Linked DNA regions of Styela clava. The protein of the gene in region 1 purifies or fractionates together with the protein of each later gene. This does not show direct contact. Links are inferred from orthologs where the notes say so. Each region holds a gene or a part of one and is shown on either strand. Other genes may lie near its edges. The genes, in order: FACT complex subunit SSRP1-like, ATP-dependent RNA helicase A protein-like, casein kinase II subunit beta and uncharacterized protein LOC120338085.

Region 1 (7,831 bases):
GATGAAATTCTAATGAAACTTCGTTTTTTCCTGGTGTACATTGTGATACATTTTGCAATGGAATTTCAAAAGCTCTTTTTGAGTCAACATCAAACTGTAGTTCATAACCTATAAATTGTCATAAGTCTTCTTTTAATTTTCATATCGTTAAAAAAACAGAAATTAAACATAATATCATTGACATTCTCAAGTCTCTATACAACAGTAGACAAAAAGTGAGCGATTATTACAGGTTATACTTTAAAACAACCCATTCAAATGCCCGAATATTCTTAAATAATTTAAGTCATAAAATATTACTTCAATCATATTATTAAAAGATCTCATGTCTGCTACCTGAATTAGCGTGCAATGAAATATTAAAGATAAAATTAAGATTCCAGTTCTTGAAAATATTACGATTACAACCAATTTGAAAGTGCATTTTTGTGTATGGATTTACTCAGAGTGATAGTTCAATCACATATGATGACAAATTTGAAACAAAATGTAGCCTACCATTGAATGTTGTATCACCCCAGTTCCATCCTTTCGCAGACATGTCTTGTTGTTCAATTGTAACATTGTAATTATTTTTCACATGCTTATTGATCTTTTCAAACTCCTGAAATTTGTATGTTATTGATATTGTATTAATAACCACAACACAACAATCATAATATCCCAAACATGGTGGAATAGCATATAAATTTTGACAATGTTTGAAATGATACAACTATCAGTAGAGGTGCGCGAGACTAACTCCCAATCCTTTCTCAATGTCTTTGCGCCAGTGGATCTGTATGCGTGTAACGCAAGAATGCTGTAGCAGGAATAAAATTGCATATTTTAAATGATAACTGGAAAATACCAGCATATCCGTTACAGGAAAGAAAAAAAAAATGGTTAATTGGGGATGCAAATTTTTCACTATGTAATTACGGTACTCAGAAAATAAGTTAAGCTATGATACAGCATAAAATATTTGCAAGATATATACCGCCTCTTTGAATCCATCGTATTTGCAAGAACGTCCGTCTGTCAACTCAAGTTTCAACTCATATCCCCGAGCAACTCTTCTCCACACAACACTCTCTATGTCGGATAGTGGAATTGTTTCAACTTTTCCAGTTTTTATATTTTTGAAAACGACATTATTATTGTTAAGCCGGAGTCTACCTTCATGCTGAAAAATAAATACCATTTAAATTTATAAACCGATAAAATATCCATATCATATGAAGTTATTGTCCTGCTTAAAACATTGGGAAAAAAATATGAAAACATCACAAGTTACAGATCGCTGGTTCAAATCCCATGATCTCACCTCACCAGAGGTGTTACTAAATTAGGTAGGCAATGCTGTCCCTGAAATAAAAGTCAGTACGGCACAGTTATAATAAGATTTTGCATAATCATCCCGGAGGAGAAGAAAGCCGATACGATGGCTCAATCATAGGGTGAACCACAGTATCTCGTTTAGTTACCGTACGAGTCCATGACGAGTATGAGATTAGTTAGCCAATTATTTGTTTGAGATGGATGAATTTGGTGTTGGAGGAAGCCGTAGGTACGGTAATTGACCAGCTTGCCACAGTTACCACCCTATAATGGCAAGGAGTCCAGAAATCCTCTCGCACATAATTGTATGGCATAGCCTACTGCAGCACTGTTTCACATTTGACACCAAACAAAAACTTTTTATTGTGATTGGGTGGCTTACCCACTTTGCGGCCATGACCTATCTGCGACCATCAACTTCATCGATTAAATTAATGCCGAAAAAATTAACGAAACGCGCCGATATTTCTCACGCGTTATCGTCCACTTATCCCTCGTAGCTCTACGAAATTACACTAAAATGCGGCCACAAATAAAAAAGTTATGCCCGAAAACCTGACCGAAGAAAAAAAACGGACCATTTTACCATGTCGCCAACTACCCATTGTTCCTTCAAAAAAGCTTGAAAATCCATACAAATATAAGAGATAAAGAGATGAAACTTGGCAGGTGGGTAGAGTTGTGTTTCTTTTACCCATCTTTAAAGTTTCGCGTTTCTATCTTCAAAGGAGGGGGAGTAGGGGGGTGCGCATTTCCAATACGTCAATAATATCTTTGTCAACTAATTTGCGACCACCGTGTTTTTGTCTGTTTGATTGCTGTGATGCGGTGCTTTGTTTATAATTTGAAGAATTTTGTTTGAAATAATCGTGTTCTTAAAATATATGGCGGTCAGAAATGCAATTAGAAGCCCTTTTTTTCACGCATGGCTGCGTATGCCCTAGTCTCGACGCAGCAGAAACGATGTTCAAGGCTTGAAATCCGTGGTCGCACACTGGTCGTTCGGTCGCAAATACGTCTTCAGAGTGTCGAACTTTGGTGGTTTGTATAGCTTTAACCCCTGGTTGAGAAAGTTAATTCGAAGTTCAGCGTGTAGAATAAATGCCAATGCACCTACGGTGAAAAAATTAACGGGTTAGAAATATTGGTTTTTGTTTTATAGCGGTTTGAATGAAATCGTCCGCAGACTGGCTACACCACCCTATATCACAGAATAAATTTCTCATGTATCCGATAGTCTAGATCAGATACCGGTACCTAAGTTTTCGATTCGAAGAACTGAAGAATAAACCCCCACATTAAAAGACATCAATTATAAGAGTGAGTACCTATTCCTCCCTTACAAGACAGTCAGTGAAGCTATGGCTATGCGCAGTAAAGGCAAAATGATTAACAATGACAACCCATGATTGACTCACCAACGCGCCTCGAATTTCTTGATAAATATCACTGTAATCCAAAACGCTGGCCGACATGGCAGCTTTACTTGTGTACAGCAGAAGTAATCCAAAGTTAGATCTTCACCAATGAGGCAAAACTAGAAGTACCGGTACTTGTTGTAAAGACTAACTCTATCACAAAGCCTCAAGCCAACCTTGGTTAGATCAGAACAAAGTGACTATAAGTTATAGTATAACACTTTATAGTCACTTTGGATCAGAAGCCTTCAGTACATGGAGTGAATAGAGGGAAAATCCCGCGAACAGTGGTGCGTCCTCCAGCGGAATCTGTAGAGTTCACGAAAAAGTATCTACAATCAAGACTTTCTACAGAAACCTGAAAAGTCGTTTCCAACAAATAATTAAAGAAGACCCGCATTACTGTAATATGTTACCAAGGTTTTGTTCGGTATAGTTAGTGTAGCGGCCATGATTATAAACAGTGACCGCTATTATTGTAACTAAACTGGCAACGGTAACTTAGGGCATCGAACCCTGACCATTGATGTTGGCGGGATCTCTTTCGGCGTGAGCCGCTTGGAGGTAGGACGTATAAATTTGTATCTTAATCAATCGGGGGGGGGGGGGTTAGTATTATTAATTAGGCGTAGTTTAAATTTACATCATATAATTCTACTTCCTGTTTCGTATAGTTATTATTGGTCCCTCCTGTGTAATAGCACTGTATTTTACCGGATTTCTGTTTGACAACTATTGCACCATTATCTGACTACTATTTCACCAACTTTTGACTCAACAATAAACATCTTTGGACAATCATTTTGAACTTTGAAAGGAACTCAGACAGAACCGCGTCATCAAAAATAAAGTGCCTGTACGAGCTATTTATTCCAATCACTCTAACGAGCACATCGCCATCGTATGGTGCTGAGCCGTTATAGTTAGAGTCTTAAGTATACTGTATAACTGTATAAGTAAGAGTTATTATTGGACACGTTTAGTGGCAATAACGATCGTTTCAATATTATTGGACACGTAGTGGACATAACGATCGTTTCAATATTATGTTGTTCTTGTTCTTTGACACGTTTTTAAAAAGTCGCTTTTCTCTTCAAATACTGGACCAATTGCTTTGAAATTTTCAGTGGTTAAAGATTAATTTTTTTGCTAGAAGGCTATTACTTTTATTTATTTCAAAATTTTGCGTGAATTCTATGAAATTTGATATTTCGTCTAAAATTTTGCTGTATTATTTTTTATCCATGGGAACACGGATTTTAGTCAGTGTCATGACTGGCTGTACGTTTTGATTCTGCAAAATTCTTGCTACTGGAAATTCAGAACTTTTTTGAGGGTACCGGTAGCGTCAAAGGTACCGGTAAGGACTGATTCGCTCTGGTCTAACGTGTCCATATATTTGTGCGTAGCTCTCTTGTGTTGTTGTTGTTCTTTGACACGTTTTTAAAAAATCGCTTTTCTCTTCGAATACAGGACCAATTGCTTTGAAATTTTCAGTGGTTAAAGATTAATTTCTTCGCTAGAAGGCTATTACTTTTATTTATTTCAATATTTTGGGTGAATTCTATGAAATTTGATATTTCGTCTAAAATTTTGCTGTATTATTTTTTATCCATGGGAACACGGATTTTAGTCAGTGTCATGACTGGCTGTACGTTTTGATTCTGCAAAATTCTTGCTACTGAAAATTCAGAACTTTTTTGAGGGTACCGGTAGCGTCAAAGGTACCGGTAAAGACTGATTCGCTCTGGTCTAACGTGTCCATATATTTGTGCGTAGCTCTCTTGTTATTAAAGATATTGTTTTTGTGTTTCAAGTAAAAAATCACAGCGACTTCACCCCGACTGTTAAAACGTAAATATATACTACTACGTTAAAGCTATGTACACTGAAGAAATAATATTGTGTGTGTGTATATATCAGTGTTTCCCAACCCGAGCCCGCGGTCTCAAATGAGTCCGCGAAGCGTTTGAATGAGTCCGTAACGAGCCAGAAATTCACTGCGGGTCGCAAGCGATTTTGCAAAACTTAACTATCAGCCAAGTTACGATTTACGTTAAAATTTACATAAAACATACCAAGCAAGTTTATTCACATAACATTAATGGAGTCAATAATCACTGGTTACAGAGTAGCGCTGGGCATATATTCGAATATTCAAGTATTAGAATAGCAATTCAACTACAGTATTCATAAATTTGGTAACAGGTGACGCGATAGGTCACTTGCGGGTAGCTTAATTTAATCAAACGAGTGGATTTCACAACTCACTTGCGGATTTCCGACGAAAACACGCGCCGATAGATGACCTAAGTCCTAAGTGATATTTCTAGCGAGTTCGAACAACGAGGAATAAATTTTTTTCTGGTGTCGAGGGTTGCAACCCAAATTTCCTTAATTGAAAAAAAAGTAATACTAAAAATAAAACGAAAAACACCATAACTTTTGTTTTATGATTATCCGCTACCGATTAAAAACGCTTGCAAATCGCAAAACTTGGTTGCTTCACTGCTACCGTAGTATACCTACCAGGGCATTTTCCCTTAGGATTCTTTGCTTTACTGCCTCGACATTGGTACGTGCAGTACAGGAGCGCCGTAAGTGTTTTAGAACAGCTCAGATTTGTCGAATCCACAAAAATGCGAATCAAAGCAAAATATAATGGGGCACTTTACCACGCATTTTTGTGTCCACGGATTGTCATGAAATTTTCTGAGTAGTATTGCTTTTATTTCGTCAACACAACCGCAGATTAAAATGATCACAATTAAATTAATAATAATAATAACCCAGGGGGGTTCGACCTCATCTCTACTGGCTGGGTCCCCAAGGTGGCGGATAGGGGAAACACCTAGGTAAAACTAGGTCAGCTGTGAATATTCAATAAGCAGCCCCGGACCAAAAAGGTAAAATTTAAAATGATAACTCGACATAAAAAAACTACATAGAGGCTGGGGCGACGCCCTCTATAAAAAGGTCCCAAAAAAACATTGTCAGTATTTCTACTGACACACTCTCACATCACGATATAAGTGGTCCCTCAACAGAGGATATTCCTCAACCGAGCCCCATACGTGAAATATCGGAAAGAAAAGAAAAAATTAAAAAACATCGTTGGAAACGTGAAGAGTATATACAAGTGATGGAAGCGTACTACAGAGCTGTGAGCTCTTCCCCAAAATGTATTACTAAACAAACACTTACAAATTGGCTTGAAGGACCCCACTCTTTGAATGTCCAAAATATGAAAGCAAATGGACTTGCAAATGTCCGACGGGATATAATTTGAAATAACCGACTGACAGATATAGAACTGAAATCCATCAAACAGAAATACTTGGGATCAAGGGATATGAGTCAAAATGACAATGTACATGACGAAAATGGCCTATGTGACAATGTACAAGAAATATTACAACTGCCATGCATAAACTCACCTCAACAAGATTTTAAAAACAGACTCAAATTGCCAAAATTACAATTGACGAAAGAAACTAAAATCTGGCTAGCAGAAGGCAACGAAGCTATTGCCCTTTTGAAGCAAGATTTGGAATTTGATCTGGATGTTACTGAAATATCAAACATTATTTATGCATGTTCAACTATGGTTACTGAAAAAGTTGGAGCAATAATTAGGAAACCCACTGGACCAAGGCACAATTACAAGGCAAAATGGAAAGTAAGAATTGAGAGCCAAATTAAACAAATGAGAGCAGATTTGTCTATCTTATCAGAAATACAAAACGGTAGTATTCTTAATAAACGAACAATGAAGAAAATAACAAATCGGTACAAATTAGATGGGTTACACAGTAATATTGCGGTAATCAGAGAGAATCTAAAGCAGAAAATACAACTCAAGGCGCAAAGGATGGATGCAAAGACCAACTACTAGTAAATAAAATGATTTTGGAAAATTGCAGAACTTATCAAAAACACATGAGTACCGCATGGATTGATTACAGAAAAGCGTTTGACAGTGTACCGCATTCTTGGCTTTTAAAGGTATTCGAAATTTACAAGTTGTCACCTATCCTAATTCCTAATCTCTTTTTTCAAAATTACAATGAAAAATTGGCAAACAAATTTGATCCTGAGGCACAATGACGGAAAGATACAAAGTGACACCATTTCGATTTCATGCGGAATTTTTCAAGGAGACTCGTTTTCACCTCTTGCGTTCTGCCTTGCCTTGGCCCCGCTTAGCACTTTGCTGAAAGAAACCGGTTGTGGCTACGAAATTTTGAAACAAAAAATATCTCATTTATTTTATATGGATGATTTGAAGCTGTATTCTAAAAATGATAACCAACTTGAAATGTTATTGAAAACTTTGAAATCATTCAGTGATGACATCAAAATGACATTCGGCCTCGAGAAATGCGCAAAAGCATCTTTTCGCAAAGGTAAATTATTTAGAGAATCAAATTTACAATTAGATCAAGAAACCTCGATAAAAGAACTCGGTAGCGATTCAACATATCGTTGCCTTGGAGTACATGAAGCTGATGGAATCAGACATGAAAAAATTATCAAAAAGGAATATTTGAGAAGACTTCGATCGGTTTTGAATAGTGAACTTAACTCTGTAAACATCTTCAAGGCAATTAACAGTTTTGCAATACCAGTAGTTTCGTACAGTTTCAATATCATCAAGTGGACTAAGCAAGAAATCAAACAATTTGATACCAAAACGAGAAAACTAATGACGATAAATAAAATACATCATCCTCGAGCAGACACTGAACGTTTGTACTTATCACGAAGGGTGGACGAGGTCTGATTCAAATTGAGGAAAGTTACAAACCATCTACTGTAGGACTGAAAATATATTTGACCGATACAGAAGATCCACTAATGCGCATCGTGCGAGATTTCGATAAAAATAAAAATAGGCGTTTCAATCTTCAACAAAACTGATGAATTTATGAAGAAAACTGGTGTTACTAATTTCTTAACTGAGAAAAAAGGTGCAAACAAGATGGCAAAAGATGTCAAGCTCAAGTATAAGAAAGAAATTTAAAAGCAGAGACTAAAAATTTGGCATGATAAACCCTTTGCATGGAAAATATCCCACTAGAGCATGTGCACTG
Region 2 (7,145 bases), on another chromosome or scaffold:
ATGTTATCATTACATGTACAAGTAGTCCCCATCATATTTTCATGTGAAGTTATTTTTTCATGGCAATTTTTTAAAGAAATTAGCATTTTGTCATTTTTTTTAAACAAGTTCAAGATTTAGGTTCCAGCTAGTGACAAAAGATACTACTGTATAAATTTCAAATCTCGAATGGATATAATACAGGACAAAACATATAAGAGAAAAAACAAAATATCCTTGAATGATAATCATGTATTTATATAGATATAAATACGAACCGATTTTGGGGGTACTTCAGAAGGCTTCATTTTTCCAGCTCGAACAAGATAATTAACAAAATCCCAGGCAGCGTTTGCTTGGGCATCCTTCTTATTTGTTGAGTTTCCTATTCCAGCATAAGGTATTGTATCAACTCTGAGCTAAAAATAATAATAATAGTTGAACATAAATTAAGTTTGATACCTAAAGAATTATAAACTTTACTATATTTTCATATTATATGTCTAAAATAGTCAAATCCAATCAGTGAAGCAATTTACATATTACAGAAATGAAAAAAACACTCGAATATTCAAAGCAACTCAAGACTGCATGTCATTGGCAATATAAATAGTTTTTCCTTATTACCAAATTGGCTTTGTTAAAGTTAAATCATCATTAATGGAGCAAAATTTATCCCAATCCACTCATGTGGCAAATAATAAGTTTATTCATTTCACCACAAATGTAGTAAATGGCTTGACAGTTGACACTTCAGTTGAAAAATGCAATGAACGATATTCTCTGCTTACCTCACATTTAAATCTTGGTTTATACTTGTTGCCACCAGCTTGAACATCATAAACTGGAGTTAGCTTTTGTTTTCCAAGCCATGAATATACAAATGTCTTGACTTCAGTCATAATGAAAAAATGTCATACTACAGAGAGACCTTACGATATTCAACTAATAATATTAAAAGGTATTGACAAGATACTTGCAATATAGTTTTTATTTAGAAGAAACCTAGCTTTACATTTCAAAACCAATAAACACATTAAACTTCAATTTCAATTCGGAAAAATCAAGTAGCATCACCAAATTTGCATTAGAAACTTAATGAGATGTTACCTCACTAGGAACATTCGGACAATAGGTTTGGAGTGCATAATAAACGACAGTTAATGAAAGGTACAAAAATTGAAGACTTTTGCATAATGTTAGAATAGAAAAAATAAAAACAAGCATCAGCTTTATAAAACATATAATATACATTAATATATAGGTTTTTTAAGAAAGAATTGCCGAGTCTAAAATCATTTTATATAAAATTTGTGTCAGAAATGTAAGTTTTTTAAATAAATACTAGTTGATATTATACTCATACAACAATCTTATGTTCTAAAATTAAAATCAAATAAACATTAGAGATTAAGTATACGACAATCAAAATATTTAAAGTACCAAAGATCTCAAGCCAATTTTTTCCGTAAACAGTATTAAGGTAGGTATCCTGACCTGTACATTATAGATACTAATCTCCCTCAAAATAAATAGGAAGGTTTTTATTATCCTGATCTTTCGATAACTGTTTCAAGTCATTAGCTAATACAACAGGTAATCCATCAAAGAGTTGATCAACTTTCGAGTCAAATGTAGCAATAGAGGTATATTCACAATTTACCACCAAGTAACGGTGCAAGTAGTTCAAGCATATTTGCCTTAAATTCAAAAGAGGATTCACAATTTCAACGGAATGAAATCTTTGATGTTCTCCACTCCATTCAACAGGAAAGTAGATTTTCTCAAAGTTAGGAAGGAAAGTGAGTGGATGTCTGAAGAAAAAAAAAACATATACTCTTGAGTGGAGAGTGAATGCAGGAATATGAATAAATTTCTCAAGCAAAGAAGGAGATTAAATAATATTTAATCCTACTACAATACTAGACTATATTCAAAGAAATTAGTCTAATCAGAATTCAAATCAAAAATGTAGTTTTAACATTCAGATCGTCGAGAGTACCGTTCTTTCAGCAAAACTGATATTTTCACAATGGAAATCCAATTTGAAAATGAAGATAAAATTGAGAAATTGAAATATTTTGCCATAATCTCTCATCTGGCTGTGAGTTAAATGCAGAAAAGTGGTTCGTAAATTTAGAAATTACCGTAGGTTATACAATGATACAGTTCATGCATAATGTAGGTAATTGCTGAATTACCGTAACCATAATTAAAAATGAAGGTAAAAATACCGGCTAACAGATTAATGCCTGAAATCAATAATCGCAAATAATGTTTTCTAACATACTGACATACCGGTATATAGTAGGGTCATGAAGAATAATTAAATGCTAAACATGGAATAGAGTCATAGACTACAACTAACCCAACGCTGCAATGTACCACAAGACATTTCTGCATTTAGGTAGACTAGACACTGCTGTACAGCAGTACAGAGATGGGTTAAGTACGGTACCTTGAAACCTCACAAAATCTATTATTGCAGTATTGCATTACCAATCCATGCATCATCTTTCAGTCTCTGTATTAACAATTGCTAGATTGCAGATTATTCTTGCCACATTCTATGACAAGAATTTTACGAATTTAATGCATATTTTCCGAAATTACTCCAGTACCGGTACCGTACTCTCCACTCTGAACATCCATACCGTACCTGCAAATACTCTCATAAAAAACCCAAGGATGTGTCTTGAAAGTATCCATCAATATATAATCTCTTGGTTCTAATCTGTCTTTATACACAACATGATTTCCCTGAAAGTTGAGCCATTCAACAGAAACGTTCCTATCAGTTTTGTTAACAAATTTTGCAAAAGCAGGGTTTTGAGAATGTTGAGATCGTTGGCGTTGCTGCAACGGGAAATCGGACATAATGCATGAATTGACGACGAGGCACTTACAATAAAATCTAAATACTGAAATATACCGATACATACAGTTTAGTTCAACTCAACCGTCAACTTAATTCAGAAAATTAAACGCTGGCGAAGACAGCAGTATGAAAAATGTATTCGCAGCCATTCCAGAAATAGAAAGGACTAAAACCTACTAAGGCCTACTTGGACGTAGAACTGTAGAATGTGGTTAAAACAGGGAAGTCTTTCAAGTTAAAACATGGTTCCAAAAATGGTAAAGGTTTCTCGAATCACCAAATTGCTGGCTTGGCCTACACATTTATATGCAGGTTTTAAGTTGAAGCTGAAGGCGCCGGCTATGAGAATTGCGAGATTTTCAAATATACAAAATATGATAACCGATATCCATTTACTTATAAATATCAGTTATTTTTTTCCGATGCATGATAATGGACTTTGTTCGGCTAAAATTTGTGACCTCCGCCAGAGTCACTTTCAAAAAGTTCGTTCGTAGTTCCACCAGATTCGTCATGTCTTATTCAAGCGCTGCACAATACAATTTATTTACGCATTAGGATTGCTGTGGACATGGAGAAAACGGGAATAAAACTACGCTCCGTAACTACAGTGTACCACTCATACTGCGCATTGGTCAAATCTCGCGTTTATAACTATAATTCGACGACTCCATATTTGTTCACAGAAAATAACAAACTCGGGCACTATTCTGCAAGCCCTGCTCACGTACTGAAAATTATAAAGTCAAGTACTGTACAGTCCGGCATCATTCTCACGCCGAGCTTAACCCATTATTAGAACATGCCTAGGTTTAAATTACCAGTAGCACTATATCATTTGAAAAGTTTGCCTTAAATATCACTGATTTTTAGATAATCTTAAGACCTCCAATTTAACGTTGGGAAAGGAGAAATAGAGTAACATACTTAAACCATAACATAATCAAAGAATTATGATTGCTATTTTATAACCATACGCCTATCAAAATGCAACAATGTTTGTTGCCATTTTTTAAATTCGCATCAACATGGAGTATACCATAAAAAACACATGATATCGCCGGGCCAAGGGATCGTCCGAGTAATTACTTACCTCTTCTTCGACCGTTTTCTAATTTGATCACAGTTAATTAATAATGTGATATCGCTAATCAGTTTGAGCGGGAATGTGCGCTTCGCTTTTCTCAACCATTCACTGGAGTTAGTAATGACGAACGGTTTGTCTGTTCTGTAGGAGCTTTTCAACGTACCGTAGTCTTTAATTTTTTTTGGCGCAACATTACAACATTAAGGTAAGCAGATGTTTTTTGATAAAAAATATATATATATACTAAGTCGCTGGTACAATTCTGCTACTTTTGGTATTATGTTTTATAAATAGCGAATTATAAAACTTGAGGGGTTCCGGCAAATCAAGATTTCAAGTGTCGATAATCGCGAGATAAACAACATAATCAAAAAGGTTGAAGCAAGGAACTTCCGAGATAAAAGAACAATCTTTTATGAAATCCAATTTAAACCTAAACCAAAGTTTGATTCCCCGGTGAGACAATTTTTTTATATATATTTAGATGGGCATACAAAGTTGTACGGACTAATCAAGTGGGACTTGGTTACCCGAATAAGTTAGACTTTTTTCATTTTGCACAATGTTTCTTGTTTTATACACATTTGTAATTTGGTAATCTGTTGCATTCATAATGTGGGTCGATAGCAGTATATAAGTTCCATTCCCATACGCTCAATTGCAACCAATGTTTTAAAATGTCTTTTCGTTGTTCCTGGTACTACTATGAATATCACGTTAGCAACACCCGTTTCATATAGCGTCCAATTATTAGAGTAAATTAGTGTAAATTTCATTGTACAAAATTGAAGGTCTATGCGAATCCTTTTATATAAAACGTATTACATATATATTTTAATAAATAAAAATTGTGTGAATATATTTATTTATCAAGTATTTATATTTACCGGTAGATATACTGCATGGTTTGACAATTGTGTGGATCATTGTTGTACAAAGAAATATCGACTATAGACTGGGGAATTTACGTTTGCAAACATGCGACGATAGTCGTTACACAGGGGTAAATATTACACGCTTATGTTATATAATAGATAATCTACAGCAGGGGTGTCAAACTCGTGGGTTTGAAGGCCGCATTGCATTTTGGGAATTGTGCAAAGGGCCGCAAACAGATTTGATATATTTTGATAATGTATACTTGAAGCATATTTTAAATAGGTGTAGTTTGTGACATATACTGTGATGCAATTAAACAGTCAAATGAAGTTTTGTTATTTTCTTAAATTTTAAATACCATTTACATATTAATTTTTGCATTTCACTATTTTTGCAATTTACTGTATTTATTACAAAAATTTTATTTTATGTATAACTATCCAAAATATTTTTGAACAAAGTTTTGATAAGGAAAGAATAATACATACACTAAAAATGACTTAATCTAAATATATAGATCTAAAATTTACAATATTGCTACAGAATGAACTCAATGTTTTTTATTGAACATGTCCTGACTTTTGACATCTCTTTTGTGCCACCAGCTTACTAATATCAGGCTGAAATGATTTTACAGTATCAACTCTGATTAACGAGGTCACATGATCATCGGTTAATCTGGATCGTTGAGAATATTTGATTAATTTCATTAATGCAAAAATATTACGTTCATCATTCCATGTATAGATCAGTAAACAAACAAATTTTAGAACCAAACTTTTCCCGCCACTACCTTCACGTGGCATAGGACCGGTTGAGTTATGATTGATATTGATATTTAGTAACTAAGTATGGTATAATCATAATAGTATACAAACACATAAATATTTTCTGTTCGTAGTTGATCTTTAAAATTGTCATATTGACTGCTGAGCTTATTCTGATGATGTCTACTCATATTGTATTCTTTCATTTTACTGATAGAAACGTGAAAAATTGATCAATGCGCTTTAGAATTTTGAGAAATGCAGAAATATTGCAACTCCCCTTTTATTTAAAATTGCCACTTTTTTCATGTACTTTGTGTTTCATTTAATTCCCGTAGTGTTTTTTTTACAAGTATTCTTTTGCTAGCTTGAGGTGTATCCATACATAATTGTGTCAAATTGAAAACAAAAACATTCAATTTTCCAATGTTATAATTGTCGTTTTCTGTGTGAATAAGCAGTTTCACTTTAGGGTTTGAAAAATGTATTACATTTAGGTAACAAAATATATATTACATTTATTGTTAGGCGTTCGAGGGCCGCATTGGAAATTCTCTGGGGCCGCATGCGGCCCGCGGGCCGCAAGTTTGACACCCCTGATCTACAGCTTATCTGGCCATTGAAATAGCATATAATCTCTGGTCGGAGCCTTAGAGATAACCCGCCAAAACACTTTGAACTAGCAATATTTACCTTGTAAAAAACTTTTTATTTTATTTTAAATAGACTCCATAAATCGAATATAATTTAAGTTTATGTTCACCACCAATCAATAAACGATAATATCGGTCGGAGACCGAAGACTTATCGATCGAAACTGCGGTTTCGATTCATGGCTCTATAGTGACACCGCGTGTCTCATCACTAATTAATTAATAATTCGCTAATTATACGACATAATTTATAAAATGTTTTTCTACTTTAATTTCAAATTTGAAAAAGCGGGCCGAGATGATTCTTCAATGGCTTGTTGTGAAAACATTCTTGACGTGTTTATTTTTCAAGAATTCAATACATATAAGTAATAATTTTATCAATGCATTGCAACAGTACATTGAATTTGCTTACCCAATTGACTGGATCACTGAGACTATAGTAGGCTTTAAAATATTGTTATACTATTTTCAAAATTAATAACAGCAGGTGTTATTGATTTTATCCTTTCTATTACAGTTTTTTTTTCATTTCCAAGTAAATGAAAACTAAGGCTAACTAAAAGCTTGTTATCGGTCGTGCTCGTTGGTTGTGTCAATTTACAATAGAAAATCTATCAGGATAGTGTATTGTTTTTTGTATATTTTGTTTCAATGACACAGCTCATTTTGCTACATTTACGAATTTTCAGAATAAACAAATAAATGAAATTGAAACTAATCATATTTTTCTAGAAACAAGACAAATTTAAAAAAGAGAACAAAGCAACAAAGTAAGCGACTATAAGGAACAGTTGTTCTACTAGGCCGATTTGCATGGTAATTATTAATTGAATTATTATATTATTGATCAGTTAAGTTGAGTAAAAAAGTAGACTTTGTCAAATTTCACTTTAAAAATT
Region 3 (7,335 bases), on another chromosome or scaffold:
AGATTTTTATGAAAAGGATTTCAAAATGAAACAAGATCAGACAATATCATACACACAAATCAATAGCAATCCTCAGACATAAGTAAAGTTGCTATATGGTAATATAATAGTTTGGTTATTGAAAAATTATCATCTTTATCAATTTTTTTCATCAAAGCATGTGCTGACACCTAAAATGCAAATTATTATAGTATTGCTGCGAAAAATAACAAAGATCCTAGGAATTTACAACTGAGTTATATTTAACTAGGTTGAATCCTTTATTCAGGAATATCAAAAACTACCGTAGGTAAAATATCACATACATGATTTTATTCAATGTACATATTACAACAATTTGAACAAAAATTTATAAATATATATTATATAAATTCACAAGATGAGCTCCTACTCATATTTCCCTTCTTGTTTGACTGTTATTTTAACTTCATATACAATTCTATTGGCAAGATGACAAACCTCTGCATCATCAATATCTCCTGTGCCATTAACTTTCCTTGAATTGTTGTCTATTCTAAACACGTTTCCGAATCCATTCATTGATTTAGGTGACGTCATGGCAGATCCACCAACGCTCTTAACATAAAAAATTGATCAATTTCACAGTAGAACAGGAAAATAATGTTTATACATTTCGAAACGTAAATGCAATGTTACTTTCGATAAAACGTTCTCGATATCAATGTAGAAAAAAGAAATATAAGTTATATAAGAAATATTAAAGTCAAAATATTCATTCTTTGGTATAAATAGGCAACCAAAATATTTTGGATATAATATGAGAATATACATATATCGACTATAGTAAAATTTAAAAAATTCCAGGTAAAAACTCAATTGATATAAAACTAACTTCTAGCAACCATTAATAGAATTCACGAATTATCCCATTAATTTTAACTTATTAATACTCAATATTCACCAAAAATTACTTCATCCCAATCACAACAAAAATCTGTACAATTTCTCAAATGCCAAAAAAATTTGAATTTGAACTGTATTATAATTCCTGAATGTTAAATATTTAAGATATTGAAAATAACCATAAATTTTTGGCTAAAGCTGCAAGCATAAGCAGTCCATTTTGTTGAATATGATTGCCATTTTCTTTAAAGCAATATGATATATACCAAATAGAGGATCGAAATTTTAAGAATATTGATTGAATGTGGTATGGTTCATTTCTGATAATGCAAATATAGCAATAGTGAAAGCAATTCTTTGTGACATCGAGAATTATAGAAAAGTGTTAGCAAAATTGACACACGCACATATCAACAAGGATTGACAAAAAACCTAATAATATTGATCATATGAAAATGGTGATCTTTTTCAAATATAATCACATCACAGAGATATTCACAAAATTTGGCTCAATCAACAAAAAAGTTATAGCAATCTAACGAATTAATCTGCAATTAAAAAAGTTTTACCAGTGGTCTGTTTGAAAGTTCATCTTGTCCCGGGAGAGCACCGTTAGTTTCTCTTGCAAAACCGGGAGAGGTGGCTTTATTAGGAATTGTGATTGACATTCCTGCAAGATCTCTAGCATCGATTCCAAGTGATGTTAATGGAATACTTTGAGCAGGAAGATAATTGATCTTTCATAGAAAACAAGATAACTTTAATAATACTAAAAATGTGAAGTTATATATTAAAGAATTCAAAGATTGTGATATGTGTAGTGTATATAAGCACAGATATGAAATAACCTAACTAAAATAGATAAGGAGAACAAATTTACACTTTGTATCAAACAAATAAAATCTACATATATGGATTTTCAGATCACAATTAGTATATTATTAAGCGCATATTTTACGACTTGGGCTATTTTCAAGATAACTAAAGATGCAAAATCTTGTAAAAAAAATAACTGCTTGGGATAGAGATAGAATGAATTCAATTTTTCATCTGGTATAAGGAAATGTGAACTAGTTAATTTAATAAATTGGCAAATTGCAACTGTTATAGGTTGAGATTGGACTGTAAAATCAGCTACCAACTTCAGCATTATATATGAAAATGGCCGAGAAAGAAAGATAACATATAAAATAACAGAGTTCGTGCTGTTTTTATCACGATCAAGAATCCAATCCAACAGTTGCTATTCGTGACAACGAATGGATTCTTGTGCCTTTCTAATATTTCATAACAAATGTGAAGCATAAAAATTTTAAAATATTGTTCAAAGAAACATACACTTGTTCCTCGAAACATAGCAGGCCGAGTAACCCATTCTTGAAGTGCTTTTTGTAATCTTCTAACATGCAATGGTTTGCAAGCCATTCCAACCAACGCCATAATTTCAAGAAATTCTTCTTCTCCAGCTTCACAAAGTTGCTGCACATCATCGCCACCTAGATTTGTGGTCGATAATAATTAGTTGAAATACAAAAGCACTTTCCACAAAATCGAATTCCATTTATATGTTCATTGTGGTTTTGCGATCATGATGAATCTACAGCGATAAATTTAATTGTTAATATTGGAAAGATAAAGTTGGGTCTAGTATAGTTTAGTACCACAAGTAGTTCCAGTGGGCAATCCTAACCCCCACTTGACTACGTCACCGAAAAATTACGTCATTCCGACGTCAGAGTGGCGTAATAATAAGGCCCACCGAAGTATGCGGATGGTCGTCCAAAACGCGCAGACGATAACCCCGAAATCGAGCAAGCTATTTCTCTCGTTTTCTCGTCGCAACGATCACGATAGGAGAGAGATCGCCGGCTTTAGCAAGTTCTTATCGGCCGCGCAGATGCCATTCCGGGCGATCGTAATCATACTTTGGCAATCCCTATGACATGATGGTGACGCAGTAGTGATGTAATTTTTGGATGGCATAGTCAGGTGAGGGTTAGGAATAACATATGCAAAAATCGTTATGCTACGCCCACTGGAAGTACTTGTGGTAATAAACTATACGGGTCTCGTGTAGTTTCTTACCTAACATACTTCTAGTGGGCGTAGCATCACGATTTTTGACATATCAATCCTAACCCCCACCTGACTATGCCATCCAAAAATTACGTCACTACGACATCACAATCACGTCATAGAGCTTGTCAAATATACATACTATCGTCCGAAATGGCATCGGCGCCGACGATAAAGAACTTACTAACGTCAGCGATCTCTCTCATATTGAGATCGTTGCGACGTAAAAAACGAGAGAAATAGCAGTTCGGGTTCGCAGACGTGCGCGTCTTGGATGACAGTTCGTATAGTTTGAAGGTCTCTATTACGTCACTGTGACGTCGTAGAGACGTAATTTTTGGGTGGCATAGTCAGGTGGGGGTTAGGATTGACACATGAAAAAATTGTTGTGCTACGCCTGCTATGAGTATGTAAGGTAGGAAACTACGGGACCAACTATACTAGACCCGGATTGACATATGCAAAAATAATTGAGCCAGGCCAACTAGAAGTGCATGCGGAACTAAACTAGTCTATACCAGACCCCAAAAGTTGACTGTAAGCATAAAAATTAAAAATAATCTTCATTATAAAAAAAGTTGGAAGCTCGGGTGGGTCCGGCGAACTTATTTCAAGCGCAGCATGTCTGCATGTAGGGAATATTTTAGACCATATTTGTATATTGTGAGAATTGTAGGTTTAACATTAGTAGTAGGTGATTTTATAATGCAGTACAGTCCGACAGTACGGTACCTGCAGTAATGCAAGTTGTTCGCAAACTGGGCAAACACATGACAAACTTTTAAATATAGAACAGCCTGGCAAAAGTTGATGAATTGTATATTCACTTACCTTGTGAAATAAATGTTTCGTAATAGGATAACAGGTTCGCTCGCTGCAACACTTTGAACAATTGCAACTCTCCTAGCGTCGAAGGCTTTGTAGTACTCATGATTACAAAGCCTGTGGAACTACGCAGTCAAATCGGCAACCTACTACCTCAAGTTAAACTTCCTGGTTTGTGGATGTTTGAATGGAAAGTTAAGATAAATAAAGCGAATGCAAAACCATCGGAATCCCTCGAAGCGCGACTGAACGCACAACTAAACTGCGTCGCATCTTTGATCGGATGAGACATCTCGGATCGATCAAGAGAAGAAGGGAATCACAGAGAAAAGTCGGCGTCAAAACAACCCGCGTGGGTCCTCGATGCGATCGCAAAACATTTGACAGATAGAAAGAAAGACAACTTTTAAATTAGATCGCCCATTGATAAGAAATGAAATTGTAAAGTAATCGGTTTTAAAAATTAGTCTGAAACTGTAAAATAGCTTAATAGAGTGATGGTTTTGAAGTGCGATCTGTAACATGAAAAAAAAATTAACGAGAGATGGCAGGCAAGAGCCAAAACCATGGTCACAACTTCAGAACTTCCATCACTCTGCGTTGTTTGGCTTGGAGTTTCAAGTGGTTTCCTGGGATCGTCGAGGTAATTCCGCTTATTAACTACATAGCTTTGTTTAAAGGATCTTGGTAATTATTTTAATGGGTCGTAGGCTAGTTCTTGCTTAGCCTGAACAAGCATTAAGATATTTATTTGAACCACTCCTATGGCTGTATCGAAAATCTCAATAATACTGTCTGACTGTAATATAAATATGGAAATGGGTGAAGTTATATTATCAACTTCTGATTGTATCTCAGCATGTCTATAGCTCCTGAATCAGTTTGATTTTATTCTTCTGAGAATTATCATATACGGTTAATTACCTACCTCAATAACCTGATAATGTTATACCGGTAACGCACGTGCTGATTTTAATATACTTTAATTTGTGCTATTTGTACTGCCTTGTCTTCTACGGTTCTTATTCATTTTCTATATTGAGCCCGGTTTCGATATTGTGGTAGGCCTAGATCACAGCGCAGTACAGAATAGGGTGGTATAGCCAGTCTGCGGACGATTTCATTCAAACGGCTATAAAACAAAAACCAATATTTCTAACCCGTTAATTTTTTCACCGTAGGTGCATTGGCATGTAACTTTCTACGACCAGGGGTTAAGCTATACAAAGCTTAATTCTTCTTAATTTCTTAATCGGAAAAGAAAGATCTTTTATCACAATTAAAGGTATGTTCGTCCCAACATGTGGAATCACTCTTTCTCCCTCTCTCTGTATATATAAGCTATACGCAGCCATGCGTGAAAAAATTAGGCTTCTAATTGCATTTCTGACCGTCATATATTTTAAGAACACGGTCATTTCGAACAAAACTTGTCAAATTATATACAAAGCACCGCATCAAAGCAATCAAACAGACAAAAACACGGTGGTCGCAAATTGGTCCACAAAGATGTTATCGACGTATTGGAAATGCGCACCCCCCTATTCCCCCTCCTTTAAATGTAGAAACGCGAAAAATTAAAGATGGGTAAAAGAAACACAACTCTACCCCCTTGCCAAGTTTCATCTTTTTATCTCCTATATTTGTATGGATTTTCAAGTTTTTTCAATAGGAAATGGGTAGTAGAAAAAATAATCCGTTTTTTTTCTTCGGTCAGGTTTTCGGTCGTAACTTTTTTGTTTGTGGCCGCATTTTAGTGTAATTTCGCAGAGCTGTGAGGGACAAGAGGACGATCACGCGTGAGAAATATCGTTGCGGTTCGCTAATTTTTTCGACATTAATTAGATCGATGAAGTTGATGGCCGCAAATAGGTCGGGGCCGCAAAGCGGGTAAGCCACCCTATAATGTAACCCATGTCCTCTAAACTCATAATTCTGCTATAAATTGTTGGATCATGGAACAAAATTTTCCTATAGTTATGTTGTCGCAACCAATTCTGACAGTTTATTTACAGCTTAAATGCAATGGCAAGGAGCCTTGATGATCTTCGACGGTCTTGCATACTGACCTGCACAAAACACAAAACAATGTGTAAACAATGTGTGCTATGGCCAACTGGATTGACCGTTGTCTACAATTCCAACTCTGCTAGTAATGGAAGTCATTAAGGAATTACGGATCGGTTGTTTTATGTCAAATCGCTTAGTACTAAAATATTTTGAAATCACACAAGGGAAAAGGTACAACAGGCACAATGGTATTTGAAAGGGAATGAACCGTTTTATAATGATATATTCAAAAATTCTTAGGCCATATCACACCCAGTAAAATTGTGATGTTACACTGCTGCCTTGGCCCGCTGTTATTCTGTAGGCAACACTTTAGTTTACAAGGCCGGATACAGGATATCATAATATTATCTGGATGTCAATTTTGCATCTAACTAAATCTTTACTTCGTTCATGTGATTCATAATACCATTGGCACGGGGTCGGGGATATGGGAATGGTCACATTGAGGGTGATAGAATTATGCAACAGAGGTAAAGTTGCCATTTCTTTCCAACCCTCTGCAATTGATTACTGACGATGAACTGTCTCATTTGTTATATAATATAATAAATATTAACCACTCGCCCAATAAAAAATGTATTAATGATCAAATTACATAAGGAATCATTAGCTGTATAACCATAGTATCGGTAAAGTAATCTTTGGTATGAGTCTTCAATTTGTGTGTGAATTGAAGACTGGTCAGCAAATGATGTCGTACCGCTCTCCCAGTTTAAACAAACTGATATACAGAATGTACTGCCAAGTATTAATCAAATTACTTGCCATAAAACCTGCTGTGTTCATTTTATTCAAGGGAATATCACCAATTTTACTTGGTGTACCAGAAAATACAAAAAAATAGTTCGATAAGTGATGATAAAGGCCGCTGGAAATGATTCTAGAGAGAATATTCTCCATAATCAAACCATAGTTGCATGACATAATGATTTTAGAATAGCTAATGAATGCTTTACAATAAACAACATATAAAGGTTTTTAGGAAGTAGTGCCAAACACTTTGAATTTTAGCGAGGACCATTTTTATAAATAACCAGTAGCTATCAGCGAATGTTTATGGAAGACTGAATCGGTGTTTGTTATTCTGCTACCAACATGTATTGAATGAAAGGGTTAATATTTCCATAGTAATCTCAAACCATATATAAGCACATTTTCCATTTTTTCTTGATGGTTGGATTGCTTGAGCCAAGTTTCCATTTGCTGTAGTCTTTTGTTCTTTTCTTCACTGTAATGATATAATATTGATTTTGAGGTGATCATACAACATTATGCTGCCTATAATCCAAATAATGTCATCAATTACAAAATGCTTATGCCTTACTGTTAGGATTATCCTTGTATCACTATATATCCCCAATATTGATTTGGTTTTGGATACAATACTGTGTCCAATTAATATAATTCTATTAACCGGTAATGAGAAATGCTCATCTCATAGTGTAGTTGTATTTACGTTAAGATTTTCATGGGTATACAATTTATTAACGGGATGTG
Region 4 (7,103 bases), on another chromosome or scaffold:
TTTGGGTTTGCTTCAAGCCTGCAAATCCAGTTAATTAGTCATGCTCGGGCTGGGTCGGGTTTAATACCAGCGGACCTGGGCCGAGCTGAAATTTTTGGGCCCGATTTTGCCTCTCGTAAGTATTACAAAATATTAATCAATATCATATTATTAAGCACAAAACCAGCACAGACCTGCTTCACCATCAGAATCTGAGTGTACAGGGGTTTCCCCTCCAGCTTCACTCCCACCTTCATCAGATTCTTCTTGTGCTGCTGTAGGACTTTCTTCTCCCCCTGAAGCCTCTGCAGCCCCTTCCGCCTCCTCCTCCCCATCAGAACTATCATTGCCTGAAACAAATTTGAGAATATTAAGATTTCTTATGAACAAATCGGGCTCAGCAGCGTTTCCCTACAGTCATCTATCTAAATCTAAATGTTTTTTTTTTTTTGGGGGGGGGGGGTGTACTCTATATTTGTGTGTAGTTTTACTAATATTTTTTAAGTTTGTTTAACCGGTAATATAAATACCTGATGCTTCTTGAGTTTCTTTGTCTTCGGTTTCTTCAGCATTTTCTTCATCACTCGCTGTGTAAAATGATAGGTTTTAAAAAACCTTTAAATGAGCGAATAAGATTTTCATTCCAAGACGAGCAAAGTTTAAAAAAAATGACCCTATTGTGATATCAGGTTGGGTATGGGTATAATTAATCACTTATTTGCTTGAGGTCCGTACATGAAGTTGTTTAGTTAAACTTTAACTTCAAACATGGTTTACTATTGCATTGTTGATAAATGTATCTCCTCACTTCAGCTTGCGCGAAAGCCTGCTTAAAAACAGTGAAAAACTGTCTAAAAACACCAATAACCCTTCTAAAACGCTTGAAAACAGTGAAAAACCGTCTAAAAACATCAATAACCCTTCTAAAACGCTTAATAACAGTGAAAAACTGTCTAAAAACACTAAGAACTCTGCTAAAACGCTTAAAAACAGTGAAAAACCGTCTAAAAACACCAAGAACACTGCTAAAACGCTTAAAAACGGACGGAACGTCTGTATACCATTGAACAACCATATTGGCTTTTGTATATTCTTAATTAAACATGGCTCATTTAAAATACTTGGAATATTACATACTACTATTTTTAAATGTAGGCTGGAATAGTTGTATGTATGTATGTTTACTTGCCTCAAAAATGTAACAGTACCTGCATAATAGTTAAACAGTAAAACAAAGACGAGATACGTGTACAAGACCTTACTGGCCTAACACACGGATGTGTAGCACCCCTAACAAGTATAACAGCAGTTTAGGACTGCTGCGTTATAGTAGGACAACAGACATGAAATATACAAATAAAACTCTGGTTTAATACACAAGACAAAGAGGTACGACACAACGACGATATGCACAATAGTAAGTTTATGACATGTCCATGCCCCAATGGGAAAATAGGGAATTAATCGCCAATTGATGTTTTTACAATAAATCTCATGAAACACGCAAAGATTTGTACTTGGGTTGGGACCACGACACGAAATAATTAGGTAACAGAAGGTTAAAAAATTAGTGAATGACACACATAAACTTCGTTTAAACTTGAGCTGTTTATCATAAATTGCACGAGATGAAAGAAATGGAAACAATGGAGAGTTTATCATAAAATGTGGATCCATTACTAAGCCATTACTGTATAGAATTTATTGTCACCACGGCTCAATTCAATTCAGTTTTAGCCATCCTTGTACACACACATAACAATACATTTCCCGTTGTCGTATGATTTTAGATTCATTCATTCACGTAATACCATGGGGTTAAAAGTTTTAATGCATGACTGTTTTGTCATAAACAAATGCTAATTAGCATTATGCTATCACAACTCACACCCACTATCTTTTGACATTTATAGTTATTATGTCATAGGTAATCAATCACGAGCAATGAAATGTCAAATATTGAAGGCATTTTTCGCGACAACATGATAGTGTTATGTCATGTGAAATTTTAAAACAAAGTAATTAATGAGTTCAAATGCATTCTAAAATAAAATTTGAAATCATGGAAAATAGAATATATTCTGAAGTCTGTCAAAAGAACACATAGTAGTCAATGTTTATTTACAAAGTTTGAATCTGAATTTTGATTAGTTTTATATCTCTTATGAGTTTCCAAGAATTCCAAGATAATGGCCCGTTGGCAATATTATGAGACTTCAATTTCTGAAAATTATATCAAGAATTCAGAATTTTACCAAAAATTTTGCTGTTTTATTTTAATTTGAGGGAATATTCACATGAAATGTGATTGCAATTTTATATTCTCTGACTGCAATGCAAATGTTTCCTCACTTTTATTTATTGGCTTTTTGATATTAAACAGATGAACCAGTTAAAAGCAAAACTAGATGTTTTTATGGAAGAGAAGGGGGTCCCAAGCATTGAGAGTCTTCGATGGGGCCACGAATCATGAAAATATGAAACCACTGTATTAGAGCATTTCCCTCTATTTTACCTTCCTGCTCGCCTGCACTCTCCTCCCCACTTTTTTCTTCTTCTGCCGAGCTTTCCTTTGACTCTGCTTCAGATCCACTTCCACTTGCCACATTCTGGTCAGCCTCCTAAAACATAGAAAAACAATGAATCTTTTATGGGTAACCAAAAATTATTATACAACGTTGCGTGAGTAATTTTGTTTAATCTTGTGGCAGTAATTATGTGCAAGAAGATTGCTAGACTTCTCTCCGTAGTAGGGTGGTTCATTGAATGCTTGTCAGTTGCAGTTTTCTCCACCATCAAGTCCATGCATCTGAAATAAATCACTGATGGGTATCGTGATCCCCTATTCAACTGGACGGGATACCATGTTCCAACATACAACTCCTAACCTCCTCTCCGCCATCACTTGATTCTTCTTCTGCACTTTCTTGTTGTTGTTCTGTTGTGTTCTCTACTCCCTCTTCATGCTCTTCCTCACTGCTACTTCCCTCCCCAAATAATTCTTCGTCCATTATATATAAATTTTACACTAAAGGTCTTAAATGCAAAATCAAAATTCAAATCATGGTTTTTATACAAAAAATAAACAATTTTACATTCAATTCATAAGAAAGTGATTATAATCAGTCAATAAAGGTTTTTAACATAAAAGCTTGCAAAGTTATCAGTGAAATGGTTTACAGATAGTAGACAGATCACACCAGTGGTTCTCAAATGGTGGCACACCCCACAAGGGGTAAGTAGGAGTGAAGCTAATTGGGCTATTCCAAGTGACACTACATGACAATTCCAGAAATTTTGCATGTTGTTAGATGCAATATATAGATGCAACTTCTCCTAAAATTCTGGTAATAAATCGTTGAATGGGTGAGGAAATGTCTTACAGCACTGCAAACATTTAAACTTTATTAACCTAAATTCAGTGCGTCTATTTCATATGAAATAACTGTATCACACAATCAAACACTTTGTGTCACTACACTTTTGAAAAAAAATTGATGGAATTCAACTTTTGCTTGGAATGGCCCAATTGCGGATAAAAATATTTGTTAGGTTTGATCTTGCCTGCCTTAATATTGATATTCATATTTCTTTATTCTATACATTTCTTTAGTAAGTACACATATTTTCAACATGTTTTTTGAATAAAACATACTTTCGCCTTACTTTATGTTATTTACTGTTACTACAACTTGCATTTTAGCAAATTATTTTTTGAGGTGGGCATAACTTTTGACTAATTCTAAGAAGAGAAAGTTTCACAAAGTTTGAGAACCACTGGATCACAATCAATTAGACTCTATGTCATTTAGACAGAAGAGTGGAAAAAGTAAATAATATGGTTTAATCGAGAAAAAAAATGAATAGAGTACAGCAACGGCACTTAAGGCAGAATTATTTGCTTTTCATAATTATTCTGAGGGGTGGAAAGCCGGTAGAGCACTTTTTTCAATTTATATCTTGAGGAGAGGAAAGGTGTAAAATGGCTCAATTGAAGGACAATTAATGGAATACAGAATATGGTAAAGGAGCCTAAACTTGAATTATAATCTTCTTTTTTCCCATTTTATTTTGGGGGAAAGAAAGCCTATAGGACGGCTCAATTAAAAGGCCGTAAATGCCACAGAATATAGTATTGGCGCCTGAGCCAGAAAATGATAAGAATATGAGAAGGCCTAATCAAAAGGCTATCAATGCAAAACAGAATATACCGTATTTGCTCATTCCGTAGCCCGGGCCCATATTGTTTTCAACCAACTCACTAACCGGGCCCTTATTCAAGCACGGGCGCTTGTTATTTTCGATCGTTACAATAATTAATATATTGTTATTTCCAGTTCTCAAGTATGATTTAAACAAGAACAACGAAAACTTTGACTTTTTCTACGGACCGCAGGTACAAATCCGCAAAAGAAAAGCTTTGCGACGCCCTATCAATATTGCACTTGGGACGCGACACCCAGTTTGAGAACCATGGTGTTATGTAATCAATGCTATCTGTTATGTACTCGGACGCCTAACGCGTGAGTGTTATCTACCGGCGCCCAAAATTCAACAGCGTTGTGACAAAAGCGCTTCTTATTTCCTATTGTTCTCTACCACTGAAAAATCAGCTTTTACATCGGGTGGGTATTCAAGCACCGGCTCTTATTTATTTTTATGTTCTGTTCACACGGGCAGCTATTCAAACGGGCCCTTAATCAAGATCGGGCAGTAAAACGAGCATATACGGTAGTCTTCATAGAAAAAGAGAAATTTGTATTCTGAGGGGCCAAAATTAGAAGCGGAATGAAATTTGCGGGGCGGGAAAGGGGAACGCCCACAAAAGGTTGATAACGGCTTGTATAATTAAGATACCGGTATAAGTGAATTGCTACTAATATACACATGCTTAAACTGTGATGATGACATAACAATTGGGGTGTTGAACTATTTCAGCGGGCCATATCAAATCCTTACATGAGCCTTTATTACGCCGCAATTTGGAAACCACTGCATTACAGTTAAGCAAATTTAGATATGAATATAAATATTCAAATACTGCTCAAACACAGATAAAAAGGAGTGTAGTACGTATAAACTACAGAACCCAACATGATATAATGTAATATTGCACAATAATTGGATACGTATGATGTCACAGGATTTAAGTTCACAGCTCATAATGAAACTATTCATGATGCAACAATGGTAATTAATATGACTATAATTTGACACAAAAAATATGGATCAACATAAAATTTTTTAGAAATATTTGGGGACATTGATTCACACAAAATATCAGGTTTGGTTACTTTCCTGTTAGACTTGTGACTTTGCATTAAACAAACATATGAAAAAGTTGGGTTGAACTATTATTCAGTTGCTCTATCTTATTTCAATCCAAGATTTGCTCAATTTGAAAATATATGAGGTTTTATACTATCAAACTGAAACAATATGCAGAAATACTTCAATTTCCACCCTGTGAGAAATTTTGTCTTTCTTAGGGAAGAATTTGTATGTGCTGCAGTACAGGTTGTCCATAATTCCTTTTACAATTTTCAATTCTGTAATGAAGTCAGTTCTCAATATATCTTAACCAAAATTGTTGTATGTTAATCAGTAATTGTTCAAGTACTTTTACTTCATTTAATACATCTGTGAGGGCAAAACAATATATGGTATCGATAAATACCCTCTGCAATTTTAAAAAAATTCAGAAGACTTTATGAACACCCTATATTGCTAGTTTAACAAACAAGGTTGGGAACGACTTAAGTGAACGAGTAAAATATTTCCAGTTGATTAAAACTAAAAACATTTGTGGGGCAGCTGAAGTCTGGCTTGATTTACTAACTATTGCAATTTCTCTAATAGCCTACTAAAATTAATGGTGCATGACTGGCCAGAAAAACCAAATATAATTTACAAGTACAGAATGCTGTTATTTTTCGTCATGTTTTCTTTCAAGTTTGGATAAGATATACTAAACTTAAGATATGTCCATGCAACATAATCGTAATCCCATTGATAGAAAAATAGTATAGAAACAAAAAAACTTGTAAATTTAGGAAAAATCTCAAGTCAATTGCAATGAAAATGCACCAAGGATTAAAAAAGATAATAAAATGGTTGCTGTCAATTGTATGGCTGAGAAATTATACTTCATGGAAATCAGATTGGGGGGCCAGTATTTGAAGAATAATAAGTGATTTTTCTCCCAAAAAAAACAGTGATTTGATTTAGCAAAATAACACATAGGCCAAACTCAAATTGGACCCTTACAGTCCTACATGAAGAAGTACTATGAAGACCAAAGCAAAGACTTTTATAAGGTAGCATTCGCCACATTAAGACATAGAAAATAAACTGTGATTGTTTAAATCTTCGAACGTAAAGCATTTATTAGTTTGCTTTCCTTTGTTGGCTTCATTGAACATGATGAAGCGAATAACTGATAAAACCTGTTAAAAATAAACTATTTTTATACTGAAAAGAGCAGGGAAACCATGAAGTGTTGATAGTCTTTGGGAAGGGGTCATGGATTAAGGAAGTTTGAGAACCACTGGCCTAACTAACTCATGTAACAAAGTAACAGCCCTTCGTGAAAATAAAGTCAGAGTGTTCCATGGGCAACTTGGTTGAAGTCTGACACTCTAGTAGGTTTTGCATTCCTTTGTCCCAATGAATTTGTTGGACTTCTCGTAGGAGAAGAACTGTAGGCTTGAGGATTCGTTTTCATATCATAGGTCAACACAAACGGGGGAACATCAATTTGATTCGGTGGGACGATTTTATACAATTCCGGCACTGATCGAATATTCATAATCCGACTTTTGAGGTCACTGACGGAAAATGACGCAAAAATCCAAGTTGTAATTTTCATCATCGTGTTGGTATGGACCATACATAATCTAGAAAGATTCGATTTATAGCGATAATCAAAAGTATTGTATAATTTCTTCAAATATTCTGAAGTAGGTCGATTGAACTCTAGCGTCTGCGTGTGAAAGTACACAACAGTGTACGGATTGTTCACAATAGGGTCAAAGGTCAAAATGAGGTATAAAAGAAACTTTTCTAAATCAATCTCATAAAAATTGAGGTGTTTTCCAATTATTGAAATAACAACATTGCCGTTT

Evidence for each region.
Region 2: the proteins of FACT complex subunit SSRP1-like (region 1) and ATP-dependent RNA helicase A protein-like fractionate together in Homo sapiens (co-fractionation; 3 studies listed by BioGRID and IntAct, with this or other methods). This does not show direct contact. The link is inferred for Styela clava from reciprocal best matches to the Homo sapiens genes SSRP1 and DHX9.
Region 3: the proteins of FACT complex subunit SSRP1-like (region 1) and casein kinase II subunit beta fractionate together in Homo sapiens (co-fractionation; 5 studies listed by BioGRID and IntAct, with this or other methods). This does not show direct contact. The link is inferred for Styela clava from reciprocal best matches to the Homo sapiens genes SSRP1 and CSNK2B.
Region 4: the proteins of FACT complex subunit SSRP1-like (region 1) and uncharacterized protein LOC120338085 fractionate together in Homo sapiens (co-fractionation; 3 studies listed by BioGRID and IntAct, with this or other methods). This does not show direct contact. The link is inferred for Styela clava from reciprocal best matches to the Homo sapiens genes SSRP1 and LEO1.

The regions. Positions count from the first base shown.
Region 1 is NC_135254.1:10,881,950-10,889,780, forward strand, and holds the start of FACT complex subunit SSRP1-like, read right to left. Parts: upstream 3,004-7,831; 5' UTR 2,796-3,003; coding exon 2,739-2,795; intron 1,166-2,738; coding exon 980-1,165; intron 605-979; coding exon 499-604; intron 109-498; coding exon 1-108. Other genes in the region: uncharacterized protein LOC144422860, read left to right, coding at 6,805-7,521. UniProt on the Homo sapiens protein: Component of the FACT complex, a general chromatin factor that acts to reorganize nucleosomes. The FACT complex is involved in multiple processes that require DNA as a template such as mRNA elongation, DNA replication and DNA repair.
Region 2 is NC_135252.1:13,018,551-13,025,695, forward strand, and holds the start of ATP-dependent RNA helicase A protein-like, read right to left. Parts: upstream 3,019-7,145; 5' UTR 2,639-3,018; intron 1,794-2,638; 5' UTR 882-1,793; coding exon 771-881; intron 399-770; coding exon 258-398; intron 1-257. UniProt on the Homo sapiens protein: Multifunctional ATP-dependent nucleic acid helicase that unwinds DNA and RNA in a 3' to 5' direction and that plays important roles in many processes, such as DNA replication, transcriptional activation, post-transcriptional RNA regulation, mRNA translation and RNA-mediated gene silencing.
Region 3 is NC_135252.1:9,253,738-9,261,072, forward strand, and holds the start of casein kinase II subunit beta, read left to right. Parts: upstream 1-4,335; 5' UTR 4,336-4,408; intron 4,409-7,335. Other genes in the region: NGFI-A-binding protein 1-like, read right to left, coding at 460-576, 1,434-1,601, 2,203-2,360, 3,772-3,871. UniProt on the Homo sapiens protein: Regulatory subunit of casein kinase II/CK2.
Region 4 is NC_135250.1:1,320,423-1,327,525, reverse strand, and holds the start of uncharacterized protein LOC120338085, read right to left. Parts: upstream 3,009-7,103; 5' UTR 2,991-3,008; coding exon 2,868-2,990; intron 2,601-2,867; coding exon 2,495-2,600; intron 567-2,494; coding exon 510-566; intron 330-509; coding exon 174-329; intron 1-173. Other genes in the region: ganglioside-induced differentiation-associated protein 2-like, read right to left, coding at 6,578-7,103. UniProt on the Homo sapiens protein: Component of the PAF1 complex (PAF1C) which has multiple functions during transcription by RNA polymerase II and is implicated in regulation of development and maintenance of embryonic stem cell pluripotency.